Danio rerio: one gene and its partners. The protein of the gene in region 1 interacts with the protein of each later gene in a pairwise test. Links are inferred from orthologs where the notes say so. Each region holds a gene or a part of one and is shown in the gene's direction. Other genes may lie near its edges. The genes, in order: ntaq1, nudt14, gas7a, gmds and pts.

The links.
Region 2: the proteins of ntaq1 (region 1) and nudt14 interact in binary tests that used the Homo sapiens proteins (3 or more experiments, as listed by UniProt). The two-hybrid records come from large-scale screens. The link is inferred for Danio rerio from reciprocal best matches to the Homo sapiens genes NTAQ1 and NUDT14.
Region 3: the proteins of ntaq1 (region 1) and gas7a interact in binary tests that used the Homo sapiens proteins (3 or more experiments, as listed by UniProt). The two-hybrid records come from large-scale screens. The link is inferred for Danio rerio from reciprocal best matches to the Homo sapiens genes NTAQ1 and GAS7.
Region 4: the proteins of ntaq1 (region 1) and gmds interact in binary tests that used the Homo sapiens proteins (3 or more experiments, as listed by UniProt). The two-hybrid records come from large-scale screens. The link is inferred for Danio rerio from reciprocal best matches to the Homo sapiens genes NTAQ1 and GMDS.
Region 5: the proteins of ntaq1 (region 1) and pts interact in binary tests that used the Homo sapiens proteins (3 or more experiments, as listed by UniProt). The two-hybrid records come from large-scale screens. The link is inferred for Danio rerio from reciprocal best matches to the Homo sapiens genes NTAQ1 and PTS.

What each region holds. Positions count from the first base shown.
Region 1 is NC_133194.1:37,454,422-37,458,718, forward strand, and holds ntaq1 (protein N-terminal glutamine amidohydrolase), read left to right. Parts: upstream 1-1,495; coding exon 1,496-1,575; intron 1,576-1,655; coding exon 1,656-1,755; intron 1,756-2,928; coding exon 2,929-2,979; intron 2,980-3,059; coding exon 3,060-3,208; intron 3,209-3,633; coding exon 3,634-3,758; intron 3,759-3,844; coding exon 3,845-3,948; 3' UTR 3,949-3,964; downstream 3,965-4,297. UniProt on the Homo sapiens protein: Mediates the side-chain deamidation of N-terminal glutamine residues to glutamate, an important step in N-end rule pathway of protein degradation.
Region 2 is NC_133195.1:23,812,518-23,816,654, forward strand, and holds the start of nudt14 (uridine diphosphate glucose pyrophosphatase NUDT14), read left to right. Parts: upstream 1-1,322; coding exon 1,323-1,403; intron 1,404-4,137. UniProt on the Homo sapiens protein: Hydrolyzes UDP-glucose to glucose 1-phosphate and UMP and ADP-ribose to ribose 5-phosphate and AMP. The physiological substrate is probably UDP-glucose. Poor activity on other substrates such as ADP-glucose, CDP-glucose, GDP-glucose and GDP-mannose.
Region 3 is NC_133178.1:51,516,330-51,519,845, forward strand, and holds part of gas7a (growth arrest-specific protein 7a), read left to right. Parts: coding exon 1-1; intron 2-561; coding exon 562-693; intron 694-3,516. UniProt on the Homo sapiens protein: May play a role in promoting maturation and morphological differentiation of cerebellar neurons.
Region 4 is NC_133195.1:29,424,507-29,427,545, reverse strand, and holds the end of gmds (GDP-mannose 4,6 dehydratase), read left to right. Parts: intron 1-1,869; coding exon 1,870-1,938; intron 1,939-2,023; coding exon 2,024-2,086; 3' UTR 2,087-2,531; downstream 2,532-3,039. UniProt on the Homo sapiens protein: Catalyzes the conversion of GDP-D-mannose to GDP-4-dehydro-6-deoxy-D-mannose.
Region 5 is NC_133187.1:498,394-502,482, reverse strand, and holds the start of pts (6-pyruvoyl tetrahydrobiopterin synthase), read left to right. Parts: upstream 1-1,273; 5' UTR 1,274-1,366; coding exon 1,367-1,431; intron 1,432-2,364; coding exon 2,365-2,444; intron 2,445-2,551; coding exon 2,552-2,574; intron 2,575-2,660; coding exon 2,661-2,717; intron 2,718-3,783; coding exon 3,784-3,854; intron 3,855-3,942; coding exon 3,943-4,066; 3' UTR 4,067-4,089. UniProt on the Homo sapiens protein: Involved in the biosynthesis of tetrahydrobiopterin, an essential cofactor of aromatic amino acid hydroxylases. Catalyzes the transformation of 7,8-dihydroneopterin triphosphate into 6-pyruvoyl tetrahydropterin.

The sequences.
Region 1 (4,297 bases):
CAAAAGAAGTTTATTTAACGAAGAGAAATAGCTTAAAATTTTGGCACCCACATAAAAATAACAAAAGTGGTTTTATATTAAGCAAGTAAAATGCAAGTAGGGTGTATTCTTCACTATTTGGTGTTACTAATGTTAAGTGAAATTGGTTGTGCATTTTTTATTATTTTTTTGCATAAGAAAAGTGTCTATGTTTACACTATGTTAAGTACACAAAGCATTACAGTCAAATAGAAAGAAAGATCATTTTATTAAAAAGTAACAAAAATAAAGTGCAATTTCAACTATTTTATTCGTGGTTTTTCCAGTTCACCAGCTCTCAAATCAGTGGGTCCACAAGTGCTAATGAGATCATTAGTAAAAGACATTCCTAAAAACGAGGTGTTAATGGTGGGCTTTTTCTGATGGCTACACCTCAAAACATAGGTGGCCCTATACATCTTGTTAAAAGAATATGGTTAATATTTGTTGGTTTAGCTTACTTTATAACATCATAAGTATTTGAATGTTATCAAATTTCATTTTAAACAAACACGTTAGCAAATAGTGGATTCTTAAACGGTAAAAGTGTAAAGAGCTGTTTATTTGTGGCTCAGAAATGGGGATTTAGCCTATGAAAACAATAAAAAGTGTAATAAAACAGTTGTACAAGTAAATAAATACATCTCTCAGAATGTGATATATTTAATCCAAAAAAATATTTACCTTATTTTACAAAAGACATCTTGTACGCATATATATTTAGAACATTTTGTGGCTTTTTATGACCAAAGCAAGTGTGAACCAAGACAACTTTTGACAAGACTACATAGTTATTCATTTAGACTATGTGCTAACCTCCTTAATATTAACTCATACTGTGGTTTTGGTAGACAATTTGAATGGACTGATAGTTTGAAACATATTGTCAGGACTCTATAATGAGTGAACATGTATAGAGAAATGAAAGGGTTTGAGATAAACATGCATTAGAAACAGAAACACATTTTCAGTTTAAAACAAAATATAGTTCACAAAAAAAATTTATAGATATCCACAAACATTTATACAAGTATGTGGCAAAAAACGAATTAACGTGCAACAAAATACAATCAGATACTCTGAAATTAGAAACCAATACATTGGCTAATTGTATTGAGTTGAGAACGATGCCTAACTGCACGTTATCTTTCGCTAACGTGTTTTCTACTTATGCTTTATGAAAGTTAGACTGTTTAATATTTATGCTGATAATCGTGCAAGTGCTACATTTGCAATTCACATAAGGAGTGAATGTTCGCGCATCACCTGTCTCGCCGGAACGACAAATCCCCTGAAGTTCCTTACGGACAAGATACATTGTAACAAGCAACAGTGCGGTTGCAACGCGAATCGCTTCATTGTAATATTAATGTAAATATCTATGGTATCATTATACACATGTATTCTTTTGTCATGTCGTTATAACTGGAAGTCCGCGTAAACCTACTGTATATACACGTATATAAGGAAGGAAAGAATGAATGAAGAAAGCGCTTCGTCTGAATATAAAGTGATCACCCCGTCCGGAAACCAATGTGTTTACACCAGCTGTTACTGGTAAATGCGATAATACCTGTAACATTATTTCAAATTTAAAACGTACCGTATTCATACACGTATTTAAATGTTTGTTGCAGTGAGGAGAATGTGTGGAAATTGTGTGAATATATCAAGAATCAGAGACATTGTCCTTTGGAAGAGGTGTATGCAGTATTTATATCTAATGAAAGAAAGAAGGTGAGCTTCATCTCCACACAAGTATTTTACATTTAATGAAATGTACAGTTTTCTGTTATATACATACATACACACACACACACACACACACACACACACACATACATATATATATATATATATATATATATATGTATATATATATATATATATATATATATATATACATATATACACACACACACACACACACACACACGTATACAGTCACCGGTCACTTTATTAGGTACAGCTTTCCAACTGCTGCTCAACGCAAAAATAAGCCAATCACATGGCAGCAACTCAATGCATTTAGGCATGTAGACATGGTCAAGACGATCAGCTGCAGTTCAAACCAAGCATAAGAATGGGAAAGAAAGGTGATTCCAGTAACTTTGAACCTCGAACCTTGAGGAGATGGGCTACAGCAGCAGAAGACCACATGGGTGCCACTCTTGTCAGCAAAGACCAGGAAACTGAGGCTACATTTCACACTGGCTCACCAAAATTGAACAATAGAAGATTGGAAAAGCGTTGTCTGGTCTGATAAGTCTCAATTTCTGCTGCAACATTCGGATGGTAGGGTAAGAATTTAGCGTCAGCAACATGAAAGCATGAATCCATCCTGCCTTGTATCAACGGTTCAGGTGGTGGTAGTGTAATGGCATGGGGGGTATTTTCTTGGCACACATTGGGCCCATTAGTACCAATTAAGCATTGTGTCAACGCCACAGCCTACCTGAGTATTGTTGCTGGCCATGTCCATGCCTTTATGACCAGTGTACCCATCTTCTGATGGCTACTTCCAGCAGGATAACGCACCATGTCATAAAACGCAAATCATCTCAGACTGGTTTGTAAAACATGACATGAAGTTCTGTAATCAAATGACTTCCACAGTCACCGGCTCTCAATTCAGTAGAGCACCTTTGGGATGTGGTGGAATGAGAGAATCGCATCACGGATGTGCAGCCAACAAATCCACAGCAACTGTGTAATGCTATCATGTGAATATGAACCAAAATCTCTTGAGGAATATTTCCAGTACCTTGTTGAATCTATGCCACAAAGGATTAAGGCAGTTCTAAAGACAAAAGAGGGTCCAACCCGGTACTAGTAAGGTGTGCCAAACAAAAGGGGCCAATGAGTGTATATATAGTATGTATGTGTGTTAAAAATTGTGTAATATTTCAGATACCTATTTGGAAACAAAAGTCCAGTCGAGGGGATGAACCAGTAATTTGGGTAGGAACTTTATATGTATAAAAACTATGCATATTTTATGGTAGTCTCTAATTGATATAAAAATGTTGTTTTCCATTTAGGATTACCATGTTATTCTTCTACACGCAAGTAAACAAGGACCGAGCTTCATTTACGATTTAGACACCATTCTTCCATTTCCTTGTTCGCTTGACGTTTATTCAATGGAGGCCTTTCAGTCTGACAAGCATTTGAAACCTGCTTACTGGAGGCAAGTATTATCTGGTCTAATCTGCATTCTACAAAAGATGAAATAACATAAGTGTAACAAGTACTTAATAAATTTATAAAAGAAAAGCACATCATAAAATGTGAGGACAAAATTGAATGAAGATTTTAATATGAATTAGTATTTTGAGGCTGCATTGTTATCCATTTAGTATGGCCTCACATTATTCTTGTTTTAAATATAACTTAGTATTTTAAACTACTGTTACACTTAACTACATTTTAGAGGTCATCTTATGTAAATTGTGGTGATGGACAATAGTCAATTAATTTACTTTTGCATTAAATAATATTATTTTTATATATATATTTTTTAACAAATGCTTAAACTCCTTTATGTCTTTGACCCTTATAATAATAATAGCCAGTCTTAGTTGAATGTAATCAAAGTGTTGTTTGCTCTTTTAGGAAACTTCGAGTCATACCCGGGGACACTTATTTGAAGGAGTTTGCTTCTGATCGGTCTCATATGAAGGACTCCGATGGGAATTGGCGTATGCCACCTCCAGCATATCCATGTTTAGAGACACCAGGTTTGTTTTCTATTGCAGATTTATATACAGTAAATACTATAATTTGATTTCTTCTTCCACTTTCATGTATAACGTGTCCTTTTCAGAATCCAAAATGAATCTTGATGACTTCATCTGCATGGATCCCCGAGTGGGATATGGAGAGGTTTACAGCCTTTCAGACTTTGTTAAACACTTTGGAGTAAAGTAATGCTTTTTTTCCAGCACATTTTTTGTTGTTGTTGTTGAAAAATGTACATAAACAGAGCCTCAGGGAAAGATCCTATTATGATGGAGAATGCTGCAACTAAGCAGGCCTCAAAAGACACATTTATTGACTCTGAAATTATTTTTACTAATTGAACAGTTGGCAATGTGGCTTAATTATAGTCAGGTAGAAAGGTCACAGAAAAGAAAGCCATTGTTGTCATTTGTCGAGGATGTGTATTATTTTTATAAAGAAATCAGTTACACAGATGTACAGATAATAAAAATGCAGAATTTAAACAAACAACCAAACCGAAATGCGAAACTGTGTAAGCAGTTGTAGTGCTGTAGTT
Region 2 (4,137 bases), on another chromosome or scaffold:
GAGTGTGAAAGCTGTATTCGCAGAAAAAAATTGTTACCCTACATATAGAGGTGACAGTTTTGCACTTTCAGTGCTTGTAAAGAAAAGGTAACTCACAAACATCCCCAGCTCTCAAGACACTGTTGTAAACAGTTTAAACATACAGCTGAACCATTTTAAGTGTCCTTCAGAGTTGCTACCTCATATGTCACTGTTTACTAAGGCTTAACTATTGAAGGAAAAGAATAAGTAAAGATGTCTCAAGGAAGAGGGGATAAGCTTCTTCAGCTGGTTTGTATGAGACGTTAGCAAAAGCATAAGGTCAGATAAGAAACCTGCACCCATCCTGATGCTTACAGCTTACCTTTGGGATTCTTAAAACATCAGTGTCAAATATATTCTTCTGTTTTCTCTAAACTACATTGAAACCATATGTTTAGATGGTTCCTCGTAGATCACAAATGCTTTAAGGGAATCAGATAAGCATAAAGATTTACTTTGCAATCGTGGAGTGAAAGACAGAAAATGAGGATGAAACATGTAAGTTGCAAGACAGAAAGGCTGAGTTTTGAATGGAATGTACTGCAAAGTATAAAAGTAGTATGATTTTTGCATTTTGGTGCATTTTTTCTATATAGTACTGAAACAGCAAAGATTAAGTTTGTCATGCTAGGAATAGGATGTGTGTGAATTAAACCACGTGTGGATGTGAACTAATTCCGCTTTATTGTGCTTATATGAACACACAGACAGACAGTATATTCACTTTAAGGCCACATTTTATCAATGTTAGAAGAGCTAAATCGATTATTTTTCGGATCAGTTGTCATTTTATCTACAATAACACAAGATGATACATTTATCCTAGAAGAAGATGCTGGGTAAAATTAATAATTCACTAGCCCTGAAAGTCTCTGTAAAGATTTACAGAAAGTTACTAAATGTAGGGCTTTTGGCGGTTTATTTACAAAATCGCGCGCTCCCTGAAGTTGGCGCTAAATCTGAGGTTCAGTCAGCACGAGTCAAGCACACCTGCATTCGCGCGTCAGGCGCGCGCGCTGTAAAGCTTGAAAGAGGACGTGCTGAGGCGACAGAGTCCGTCATTTAACCTTAAATCAAATGAGAAAGCGAATGACCTCATCCACCCGCAACTAACGCTGACTGGCGGTTTTCTGCGCCGCAGCCCACAGAGTCATCTCTGTAGAACATTACTACAACGCAAAGACGAACAGCGCTCTTATTCTGTCCTTCCCAGGCTTCCGTAGACGTTTCCCTCATTCTCCAGTAGTCTGCGGCTCTGCCATCTGTGGTGAGAAGTACCCGTGGGCAGCTTTGTCAAAGCCATGGAGCAGATCAATAACATTCAGGTGGTTCCGTGCACCAGCTCGAACTATTTGAGACCGTTTAGGGTGCATTATAACCAGGTGAGTCGCTATAGTTTCATCGCACGTTATCATCTGTCAGTGATGCGGTCACACCTCATCATTTTGCTGTCAGCAGCCCAACCCCCATTCATTCTGTCATTGCTTTTATCGACCAACATTGCGTCTGATGTTTCACCATGACTATAACATCAGGATGACAAACGATGTATTGAAAAGAATATGTTGCTGATATCGTGTTTTGTGATCTTAGCTTAACTAGCAAGATGCTATTTAGCTATAGACAGGAAGGCAGTCACTTTCCCTCGAGCACATGCTTTACATTAAAACCAGCACAGCTGCCATACAAAGGCTTTATTAAAAGCCTGATGCACACAATATTGCACAGCTACTGCTGCAAAGTAATGATATACTATCCTGATATATACATGCTAGTGGACAAGCTAAGTTATTATCTATCTATCTATCTATCTATCTATCTATCTATCTATCTATCTATCTATCTATCTATCTATCTATCTATCTATCTAATAACCAAAAATAGTAATTCTATATGTGATTTTAGTACTTCATCCGCTTAACCCTTTATATGGCTCTTATTGAAATATTGAAAAAACACAAGTATTATTGGGGGTTATTACAAGGCTTTTTAACTTTTATATATATATAATTATTATCATGATAATTTTAAGTTCACTTCAATTTTGTTTATTTTCTATTAAATATTAGCTAAAAGTTTTGGCTTGTGGGACAGTGACAGTCAAATATAGTATTTAGCTGTATTTATGACAGTTCATTTACAAAATATGCTCATGGAACATGATCTCTACATAATCTAATGACGTCTGGCTTAAAAAAAGTCTGAAATTTTTACCCATACAGTGTATTTTTGGCCATACAGTATATGCTGTCTATTTATTTCATAGTCTTGTTCAAATTGTTTAATGCACAGGTAGGTCTAGTGAGTCATTTTTGATCAATGTTTAAAATTCATGCACTAGCCTCTAACATATTTTAGGAACCATAGTAAATTGGTTACAATGACAGTTGCTATGCTGCTTGTTGCTTATACACGGACACTGGAATGCTCAAAAGCCATGTCTATCATTAAACAAGCTGAATGTAAGTTTTTGACTCCTCTTAAGCATAAGTTGGCCAATATTTTAGAAACATGCCGAGGTAACACACTTGTTTATATGAAAAACAATACTAAATGTCATTTATTCTGCATTGTAAAATTGCAGAATGTGCTTTTGGCCTCTATAACTTGCCCTCTGCCAGTTTAACTTTAGCACCGATATTTGACTCATATTTGTTGGTTTTCACTGAGATGCAGTTCTAACATTTATTTTAAAGCTATTTTAAAGTTATATGTTTATTTTTAATTTTAAAATTTAAGGTAAACTATATGGCTTTTTCATTATGGATATACATGTCATATAAAATGGCATTTAAACTCACACTGGTAGCATTAACATTAAATAAAGCAAATTATCAGTACCAGAGGTGATCATTGTCATGGTAGTTTTATGGTGTTTATTTTGGCTACGAAGAATAGACCCAGAAACCCTTTGTAGAATAAAAATATCAGGTCATGGGTATTATGAAAACTCCTTTTAACATTGAAAAAGATTCATTTTATCGCATGAAGTCGTCTGTAGTTACAGTGTAGGCCCAATAGTCAGGCACAGTCACTCCTGACTTCAATCTGGTATCCTGCGTCTGGAGGTGGGACAGGGTAAAAAAGTGTTTTGATTTTGGACTACAATACTTGGTTTAACCATTTGGATCCATTTTACATGCTGCACGTTTAATGACATCCTAATCTTAATCTGTAGTGTTTAATATGGAGGTGGACAACCCTGCCCAGCTATAACATCTTCAATTCTTTTTGCAAGATGCTTCACATCTTTATTATACAGTACTTGTGTAAAATATTCGACTAAGGTGAATTGCTCTGGTTTGCGGTAGATGCGTGACACTGATGTAATGATCACTACATGCCCTGGCAGTGACACAGCTTTGGTTTTATATTTAATTTGATTAAATTAGTTATTAAATCGATAAGGTTAGATTAATAAAGTTAGTTAATGCATTATTTAATAATACCATGAACAAAAATTTACTTTATTACAGTATTTATTGATATTTGTTTTCCCAGTAATGGGTTGCTGCTGGAAGCGCATCCGCTGCATAAAACAAATGCTGAATAAGTTGACGGTTCATTCCGCTGTGGAAAGATAAAAAAAAGGTGCTGAAAAGATAATGAATGAATGAATGATTAATATTTTTTAAAGTTTGGTAACTCACAGAGCACTAACAAAACTATTTTAATAATGCGTTAACAAACCTTGCAATTCATTGGTGTATTTTCTTAAAAATGATGTGATTAATTGTGAGTATATAAATTTGCGAGACATATTTCAGCTCTTGTAGTATTTAATATAGCAGAATGTTGCTAAACATTGAACATTTACCATTTCTCAAGGTTTAGTTCAGCATTGTTTGGAGTGCAGCAGCACTGACCAATCAGATGTTTGCAATCATCCCCAAACTAATTTATGTTTTTTTGAGTCATTTGGTAGACCTTAGAATTGCACATTACGTTTTAAAAGTGTTCTTAGTTTATGTCACAGGAGGTTTTGGTGTTGTTTTTGACTTCCACACTTTTTATAAGGTCTTTGCAAGTTGTAAACTGATAAAAAAAAATTACCATCACTTGTATACAAACGCAGTAAACGCATCAGCCCACACAAAAAAAAATTATTCAAAGATG
Region 3 (3,516 bases), on another chromosome or scaffold:
GGTGTGCAGTTTTCAATTATCTCTTTGACATTTCTTAATAGAAGTGATGTGTAGTGAGAACCAGCTGAGAAACAAACAGCTCATTGTGCATTGTCATTGTTGTGCACTGTCAGAGAAGATGGAGGATATCTGGCCTTTATTTTTTTTCTGCACTCAATAGCTTTCCCTAAGAGATGTTATAAGCCACCTGTTTGTAATGAACTACACTGCTTTCTTCAGTCTGCTGTCATTTGTCTATTTTCACCACTGTTCACACTAGTGTGCTCCATTTAGCACAAGTGTGGGTGATTAATTGCAGATAGATGGAAGTGATTCTGCAGTATTATTCTCTCAGATCATGTATGATTTACTAAGATGGCAATACAAAAAGCCTCTTTCTTAAAAAAAAAAAAAAAAAAAACATCATTATTACTAACATGACAATTTTGAGCATCCAAATGAAGTAAATGACGTTTTGGAGAAACCCCATGGTTTATTTCAGACACTTCGCTATGTTTGTATCTAGACATGCCATGTACTGTAGCTGTGTGACTGATTTAGATTATTATTTTTTGCCTCCAGCTCCAGAGTGAAGTGGAGAAGCCTTTATTAACTTTCAGAGGAGACAACTTTAAAAAAGACATGAAGAAATATGACCACCACATTGCTGACCTGAGAAAGCAGCTGGTCAGCCGATACGCTGCAGTGGAGAAGGTACAGTCTCTCTGGATGTCTTGATTAAACCCCTGCGAAAAAGAAGTGTGCTTAATTGTGTTAATTACTAATGTCGTAGCAGCAGTTTCAAATATATTTAAATACACAACTACTGTTTTACCATCCTCCCGCAGGCTCACCACCTGCAGGAGGGAGCCGTAAGGGGGCAGTGCATTGTGGAATGGGTGGTGGTCGAAGGTTAGGAACACGACAACCCGATTGTCAGGCACAGAAACTTGCTCTTCGGACATGGAATGTCACCTCACTGGGAGGGAAGGAGCCCGAGCTTGTGCGGGAGGTGGAACGATACTGACTAGGGCTCACCTCCACACATAGCTTGGGCTCTGGAACTCAACTTCTTGAGAATGGCTTGACTTTCTTCTATCCTGGAGTTGCTCACGGCAAGAGGCGGCGGGATGGTGTGGGCTTGCTTATGGCTCCCCAACTTAGCCGCCATGTGTTGGCGTTTTCCCCTGTGAACGAGAGGGTCGCCTCCCTGTGCCTTCGGGTCGGGTATAGGTCTCTCACTGTGGTATGTGCCTACGGGTCAAACACCAGTGCAGAGTACTCGGCCTTCTTGGAGTCCTTGGGAGGTGCCCAGACTGAGGACTCCATTGTTCCACTGGGGGACTTTAATGCCCACGTGGGTAATGACAGTGATACCTGGAGAGACGTGGTGTTTTGTTATTGGACTTCTGTGCTAATCACAGTTTGTCTATAACAGACACCATGTTCAAGCATAAGGGTATCCATCAGTGCACATGGCACCAGGACACCCTAGGGCGGAGGTCAATGATCGACTTTGTGGTTGTATCGTCTGATCTCCGACCGTATGTATTAGACACTCGGGTGAAGAGAGGGGCAGAGCTGTCAACTGATCATCACCTGGTAGTGAGTTGGATCCGCTGGCAAGGGGGAAAGCTGGACAGATCTGGTAGGCCCAAGCGTATTGTGAGGGTCCTCTGGTAACGTCTTGCTGAACCCCAAGTCAGAGGGATTGTTTATTCTCACCTCCGGAAGAGCTTTGACTAGATCCCGAGGGAGGCTGGAGACATGGAGACTGAGTGGTCCATGTTCTCCGACTCTATTGTTAATGCGGCCGTGAGGAGCTGTGGTCGTAAGGTCTGTGGTGCCTGTCGGGGCGGCAATCCACGAAGCCAGTGGTGGACAATTGAAGTAAGGGATGCCGTCAAGCTGAAAAAGGAGTCCTACAGGGCTTGGTTGGGGGGAAAGCATCTCCACATTGATGCTGTTTACAGCGGAAGTGGGGAGCTGTTGACATCAACTGGGGATGTTGTCGGGCCGTGGAAGGAATACTTTGAGGATCTTCTTAACCCCACCAATATGTGTTTCATCAAGGAAGCAGAGACTGGGGATGCAGGGGTGGACTTGCCCATCACCCAAGGTGGTTTGCAAGCTCCGCAGTGGCAAAGCAGCGGGGGTGGATGAGATTCACCCTGTGTCTCTTAGGTCTCTGGATGTTGTGGGGCTGTCGTTGCTGACACGTCTTTACAGCATTTATGGAGGTCGGGGACAGTACCTTTGGACTGGGCAACTGGGGTGGTGGTTCCCATTTTTAAGAAGGGGGACCAGAGGGTGTGCTCCAACTATAGGGGGATCACACTCCTCAGCCTCCCGGGGAAAGTCTATGCCAGGGTACTGGAGAGGAGGATCCGGCCAATGGTTGAATCTAGGATCCAGGAGGAAAATTGCGGTTTTCGTCAGGGCTGTGGTACACTGGACCAGCTCAATACCCTCACCAGGGTGCTCGAGGGTTCATGGGAGTATGCTCAACCAGTCCACATGTGTTTTGTGGATTTGGAGAAGGCATTCGATAGTGTCTCTCGCGGCATTCTGTTGAGGGTGCTCGGGGAGTATGGGGTCAGAGGCGATTTGTTAATGGATGTCTCGTCCCTGTATGAACAGAGTAGGAGTCTGGTTCACATTGCCGGGAATAAGTCAGATTTGTTTCCAGTGCATGTTGGACTCCGGCAGGGCTGCCCCTTGTCACCAATTCTGCTAATAATTTTTATGGACAGAATTTCAAGGTGCAGCCTTGGGCTGGAGGTTTTTTTTTAAGACTTTGTTAAGGGTCAAGGGTGGGGTACAGCTAAGGGGAAAGGTCGTGTGGGATGGATAGGAATAATAGTTAGTTAACCCCCAGGGGTCGACAAATTCATATCACCATTGTGGAGGATAGTAGCATCTGTGTGCAAGTTCAAAATTAACTAAGGATAGCTGATAGGTAACTGTGGGTAACTGTGTAGTTACTAAGGCAGTGAAGATCTGTTTGCTAATTGTACACACATGAACACATTAGTGCATTAAATGACTTTACGTTTTTATGAGCTAAACTAGGTTTTTGTGAACGAACATTATATCAGTTGATAAAATAAGGTTATTTTTTGTAAATTTAAACAGTCCTATAAAACTTCCGTATTTTTACAGAAATTTCCTGTCAACCACTGCCGGGATATTTTGTAATTTTAACAGATTTTTTTTTTTAACAGTGTAAAAAAATTAAATTAAAGCTAAATTATAAATGTTGTGTTGATTGAACTAAACAACATTACATTACTTTTAGGTAACTAACTTAAGTTTACTCAAATAAATATTCTTTCTTTAGGGTAACTTAACTCGGTTATGTGGAACCTGTTGACATAAAAAAGTTAATTAAAGCCAACATATCATTTTTTGAGTGTATGTGTATTTAGCACATAATCTATAAAAGGAGCTTAAAATACTAATTTTTGGATCCTATTAATAAGAATTAAGTAATTAATTTTTTTGAATAAGTTGAACCTAGCAGCCAAAAGTTTGAAA
Region 4 (3,039 bases), on another chromosome or scaffold:
TTTGTACAGTGCTCAGCATATATAAGTCCACCCCTCACAAATCTGTCTTTTGAATTCATATTTTTAATAGGAAGCTTTACAATATTATATTTCTGCATATACATTAGATTAGTCAGTACTGAAGCCAAATCTGGAGTTTATTTAACAAAATAACTTGCGATAATAGTCTAAAAACTAGTACACCCAAATTTATAGAAAAATATTAAAAATATTTAATGCAAATTTGAAAAAAGCTGAAAAATCAAGAAAAGCAAAAATTAGAAAACATTTAGTTGAAATGTTGTAGTTTGTATTTTTTTCCCAATATTTCACATGAATATGTGGTTAAAATATTATTTGAATAAATATATCTGTTTAATAAATGTGTTTTGTTTGAATGCACCCAAAATATATCACTTATATTCACTAAGCAATGGAGGAAAATATTCATTTTCAAAATAAGGTGTACTTATTCATACTGAGCACTGTACATGTTTACGAACAATATGGATATTTTGTTTGTGGATCAGGACACACTGCTTTTGTGGATTTGACCTCTTGACTTCTGTCCGACAATAGAGCACAGGACCATTGACCTGTTTATATGTGTGTGTATAGTATACAAAACAGCATGCTTAAATTGGTTTTATGTATACACTGCATATGATACATGCATGTAGTGTATTTTCAGTCTTGTGTAATCAAGACGCGAGTTCTTAAAAAAAAAAAAACAGCTTGACGTATGTCTAGGTCTGTCTTTCCAGTAGTCCTGAATTCCTTTAGGTTAAGTGCACAGTCACACACAATAAAAATACACCCATATGAAGATTATCGCTTTTTTATATTGTTTATCTTCATTTTATTTACTATTTATGCTGGTGCGACTTCTGTTTTAAACCCTCAGATGTATAGAACTACTTTAAACAAGCAGTGTCTGAAACCAAAATCCTCCTGTAACCTTCCACTGTGCAATTGATATGTCTTGACTTGCTGACTTTCTATTTAATAGCAACAAGCACTGATTCTCCAGCACACGCAATCCTCACCGCATTAATACCATTCTAGCTTACTTCCATTGTCGGGACGCAGTTTTGCATGTGAAGCCTTGGATGGGCGACAAATGCAGCTGATGCTAATTTAGCTTTCAAAAAAGTGAAGACTAATTATGATTAATCTGCCGCATTAATACGTGTCTTGATTATGATGGTTGCATGCCATTTCGCATGTTGATGAATGAATGCTATTTGGCTAATTAGGCTTTAAAATATGGTTATGTCATTTAAATGATTTAATTGGAGCTAAAATGGAACCATGACTGTAACGTCTCAGGGTTCAGAATTAAAATATGGGCCCTTGGAACAAGAGCGCTCATTTGTCAAAACACAAAAGTGCTGTTGTAAATGCACATGTGTGTGTGTGTGTGTGTGTTCTGGCTTCTTGTGTAATCAGATCAGCAGCAAGGACACCCTCGAAACCCTTTACTGCCACCCTGAGAAGCACCTCTAGCTGCACAAGTGTGTGTGTGCGTGTGCGTGTGTGTGTGTGTGTGTGTTTGTGTGTGTGTGTGTTAGCGTCCCAGCAGGAGAACAGAAAGGGTTAGGCCACGAGAGTCACATAATCCATCATGCTCTGGCATTGGGAGAGGGCTGGAAAAGAGGGGGTCCTGGATGGATAGCCTGCCTCGGCCCTCACCTTCCCCCAGAGACATGGAGCTTGACACCTGTGTGTGTGGGTTGTGTGTGTGTGAGAGAGAGAAAGAGAAGAAGAAGAGTTGGGAGGTCCGGCTTAATAAAGAACTTAACCACCCCTTTGCCTTTTTTCTTCTTCGTCATTGTTTTTTTTCTCTCACTCTCTCCCCGCCACTCACTCTCATTTTCTCTCTTTTTCTAGGACTACTTGCAGGGAGACAGTTCCAAAGCCTTTAAGGTTCTAGGCTGGAAACCACGTGTAACATTTGAGGTGAGCGTTTCTGTATGAAATCAAAGCGCTTCACTTCCAATGCTCTCGAGATTGAGAAATAATCAGTGCTTGTGTGTTTCAACAGGAGCTTGTTAAAGAAATGGTGGACGCGGACATCAAGCTCATGCAGAACAACCCAAATGCCTGAACCCACACGCCTTCATCTCCACGCATGCCAAAGAGGCGCTTGTTTTGTGTTTGTGTAGCCAATGGAAGAAGCACTCAAATGCATTTCTGTTGCTCCGTCTGTCATTTTCTCTTCTGATAACACTTTCCCTGTGTTCTTAGGGTCCTTGGTTGTTGCCTTTTTACATTTTTAAATACTTTAATATTTATGATTGTGTGTTTGGATACTTAGTTGATTCTGTTGAAATGATTTTTATTCATTTTTATAAAGTGGTTTTTATTTGTAATCATGGAAAAAAGTATAAATAAGGGATAAAGGGTTTGTAGAGCTTTTTAAAGTTCTCTAATGCCGTTTAATTCATGTGATTGTTTGAATGGAAATAATGTCATTAATTGGTTTGAAAACGTTTTAAAAAAGTCTCCTGTTCCTATTTAAGATTCAAATACAGAATATGAAGTTCTTTCAAGTGTGTGTGTGTGTGTGTGTTTTACTGTGTTTTCAATGCATTTCAGTGTTGGTTTTGACCTCTGTTGTTTAATAATGTGGTATTTGTGCTGGCACTGGTAATTCTATATATATTTTTCAAAACTATTTTACTATACTACATTACATTATAAGAAGATGGAATGATGCTCTTGTTTTATAGGTTTTTTAAACATAGCAATTTAGTATGTGATAACAGTCAATTTATAATGTTTTTTTTAAGCATTGTTTTAATTATTTACTCATGTATTTGAATTAGGCTAAACACATAGACTAGTAATGCTGACTCAGTAGGCTAAAAACAAAAGATTTGCAAGTTTTTCAAAAATGCTGGACTGTTTCAAACAAATTCAAAGGTTGGGCTACATTTTTTATTTATTTTGATTCAGATTTAACTCAAGAGTTGGATTATTCCATATTTGAACCCAATTTGGGTGGATCCATTTTTGAACTAGGTGTTTTGCAGTCAGTCACCGCGCCTGCGCCGTTAT
Region 5 (4,089 bases), on another chromosome or scaffold:
CAGGGCCATGTACAGGGGGGTGGTCCTCACTTTGTGAACACATATAATAATGTTGATCTTAAAATGGTGTTAAAAATATGAATAACTGCTTTTATTCTAGCCGAAATAAAACAAATAAGACTCTCCTGAAGAACAAATATTATCAGACATACTGTGAACATCTTCTGAATATGTTCAATATCATTTGGGAAATATATATATATATATATATATATATATATATATATATATATATATATATATATATATATATATAATATATATATATATAATATATATAATATATATAATATATAAATAATATATATATATATATATATATATATATATATATATATATATATATATAATATATATATATATATATATATATATATATATATATATATATTTTTTTTTTTTTTTTTTTTTCATTATTAAATTTAACCTGCAGTTTTAAAATGAAAAATACAATTAAATAATACATTTTGAGGAACATTTTACAAATCACCACAAAGCCAGTCATTTTTAATATTTTTATTAATTGAATAAACCATTTCCCTTGACATTTGGTTTGTTAATATTTGTCTGAGATATGATTATTTCAAGATATATGGAATCCGAGGGTTAAAAAAAATCTAAATGTTGATCAAATCAACTTCATGATTGAACAAATGAAGCTCTTAGGAATGCATATTAGTAATGAAAAGTAAGTTTAGGTGTTTTTATGGTAGATAATGGAAGAAAACAAAGCATATAGCTGTCATCTGATGTATTCTGTGGAAACTGTTATAGAAATGTAAAATGCTTCATAATTAATTAAACATTATAAACAAATTGATCAAAAGTGATAGTAAAGACGTGTACACTATTTATCTATTCTCTTTTTTATATTGTTATATTTCACTTCACTAAATTATCAAGCAAAATTAAAACTCTTCTTGATTGTATAATAATTAAACACCAATACCTGTTCTTTTAGAGAGATTTCTGAGCTGATGCTGCTGAAAATACAGATTTAATGCTATTTTCTCATATATATTTAAATAGATCTTCATTTACAGAACATTACAGAGCTAAATATTGCTGATCAAGTAAATAAATGCATGATCAATAAACACACACACACACACGTATATGCATGTAAAACTGAATAATAACACTTTTGTCTGATCAGAGTGTGAGAAATGCAGAAAACACATGACGCTCGTGCACGTGGGGAGTGCTGACGTCACGGTATAATCGATTATGAGCTGCATATGAGGGGAGGATCCGCGAAGCCCCGCCTCCACTGAGCACAAATCATCAGAAATCATATATATAGATAGAAATATATATTCATATCTCGTGTTCAGTCGTAGATCTGCTGATAGAGGAGAGGAGGAGGATGAGTGAACGCGTCGCCTTCATCACGCGCGTCTGCAGCTTCAGCGCCTGCCACAGACTACACAGGTAATTAACTAACTAATCAATTAATTAACTAAATAACTAATCAGTAACTAGCCACCTGTAAACGGTCACTGAGGGATATTTTCAGCTGTAACGCTTTATATCTGCACGCTTTTGTCCGGCGCGTGCATGTGTGTGCGCGCGCTGTTTTTACTAATCTTATTCTTTGTATTTTCATGCTAACACACTTTCATGAGCACAACGTGAAATGTCGTACAACAGTTTTGCGTAAATTCGTTGATAATATTTCTACAAGCAGTCTGGATTGCGAAAAGTACTTGTTGCAGGAAGTCAGAAACACGCCTGCGTCAACAGGGAGGAATTCTGGGAAGTGTAGTTTAACGTGACCACGCGTAACAGTGATTTTCTTTCACTTTATTTCATCCTCTTTGATTAAACCTTCAAATAACAAACAAACTCTCATCTTCCATTGTTAAACATGTATTTACACACTACTGTATATCCAAGCAGCATATAATAAACTAAATAGTGCAATAAATAAAACATCGAATAATACTATAATGTAATTTACATTTCAGTAGGGGGTTAAGGCACTATTTTCTCTTTAAATGTGTCAAGGATTGAAATAAAAGTCAGAAATTATTTTTTAAATGTTGGAAACAAGGAGAAACTTTAACAAATCTAAACACTGAATTTACTAAAACATGATCTTTGTTACTGCTTATTTTTAGTCATTGATTTATTATTATTATTATTATTTTTATTATTATTATTATTATTATTATTATTATTAGCCCTATGAAATTATTTTTTTTTTTTTCATATATTTTGCAAGTGATCTTTAACAGATCATGTCGGTTTTCAGAGTATTTCCTATGTTTAGTTTGGCTGGAATGTGATGCATTGCTGTTGTTGTTGTTGTTGTTGTTGTTGTTGTTGTTGTTGTTGTTAATGCATTTATTGGATGTATTTCAGTAAATGTTTGAGTGATGAGGAGAATAAGAGAACGTTTGGGAAATGCAACAATCCTAATGGTCATGGCCATAACTATACAGGCGAGTTATTAAATATGTGCTATTAATTATGATCGCATTATCAGTGTCTCTCTTATGTCGTGCAAGAGCTCAAGTAAATCTCTTCATATGCTTCATTTCTGTTCTAGTTGAAGTGACGGTGCGTGGAAAGGTATGGCAGAACTGTCTATAAGCATATATGCAGTGCTCTGTGCTATAGTATTGTAAATGCACACGACTGTATTTCTGTTTTCATAGATCGACAAGAACACAGGAATGGTGATGAACCTCACTGATCTGAAGGAGTTTATTGAGGTACAGCCATCAGTTAATAATTAATATATTGATAAATGCTGTACAGGTCTTGTTCATTCTTATGTCATGTAATCGCATTAACTAATGAAACCTTAATGCAAAGTGTGACTGGAGAATTTTTTGCATGTAATCTACTGCTTATTAAATTTTAAATATAATTGTATACATACATACATATATATATATATATATATATATATATATATATATATATATATATATATATATATATATATATACACACTGTATAGAAAAATATACTTTTTAGAAGGGAAAATAGAATGTTTTTAAATGAAATGAGTCTTTTTTTTTTACACGTAACATATTTATTAATTAACAAATTATACCATGAATTGATTTTTGGCTATCAAAATAATAAGCATATTGAATCTATTTAATAAATTAAATGTAATAATAGTACTATTATTAATATTAACTATTATTAATATTACTATTATCAATAACTAATTCATAAAGGGTGACATGGTGGCTCAGTGGTTAGCACTGTGGCCTCACAGCAAGAAGGTCTCTGGTTTGAGTCTCGGCTGGGTCAGTTGGTGTTTCTGTGTGGAGTTTGCATGTTCTCCCCGTGTTGGTGTGGGTTTCCTCCGGGTGCTCCGGTTTCCCCCACAGTCTAAACACATGCGCTATAGGGGAACTGATCAACTAAACTGGCCGTTGTGTGTGTGTGTGTGTGTGTGTGTGTGTGTGTGTGTGTGTGTGTGTGTGTGTGTGTGTGTGTGTGTGTGTGTGTGTGTGTGTGTGTGTGTGTAAGTGTGTGTGTGAAAATGAGAATGAGAGTGTATGGGTGTTTCCCAGTGCTGGGTTGCAGCTGGAAGGGCATTTGCTGTGTAAAACATGTGCTGGAATAGTTGGTGGTTCATTCCGCTGTGGCGACTTCTGATTAATAAAGGGACTAAGCCAAAGGAAAATGAATAAATGAATGATTACCTATAATCAGGTATAGCAATAATGAGTGTGTATGGGTGTTTCCCAGTGCTGGGTTTATTTATACTAAAATAAATAATTAATAAAAATATTAATTAAATGTCAATAATGTGTTTAGGAGGCCGTCATGAAGCCTCTTGACCATAAAAACCTGGACCTGGATGTGCCGTATTTTGCAGATGTTGTCAGGTATGAATCTGCCCTGTGTGTGTGTTTGTGTGTTTGTGTGTGTGTGAGTGATTGATCAGAGACTCTGATGTTTGTTTGTGTCCCGCAGCACCACAGAGAACCTGTCAGTGTTCATCTGGGACGGCCTGCAGAAGCTGCTGCCTCACGACAGCCTGTACGAGATCAAAGTCTACGAGACGGCCAAAAACATCGTGATCTACAGAGGAGAATAGACTCAATTTTGTGTGTGTGTGTG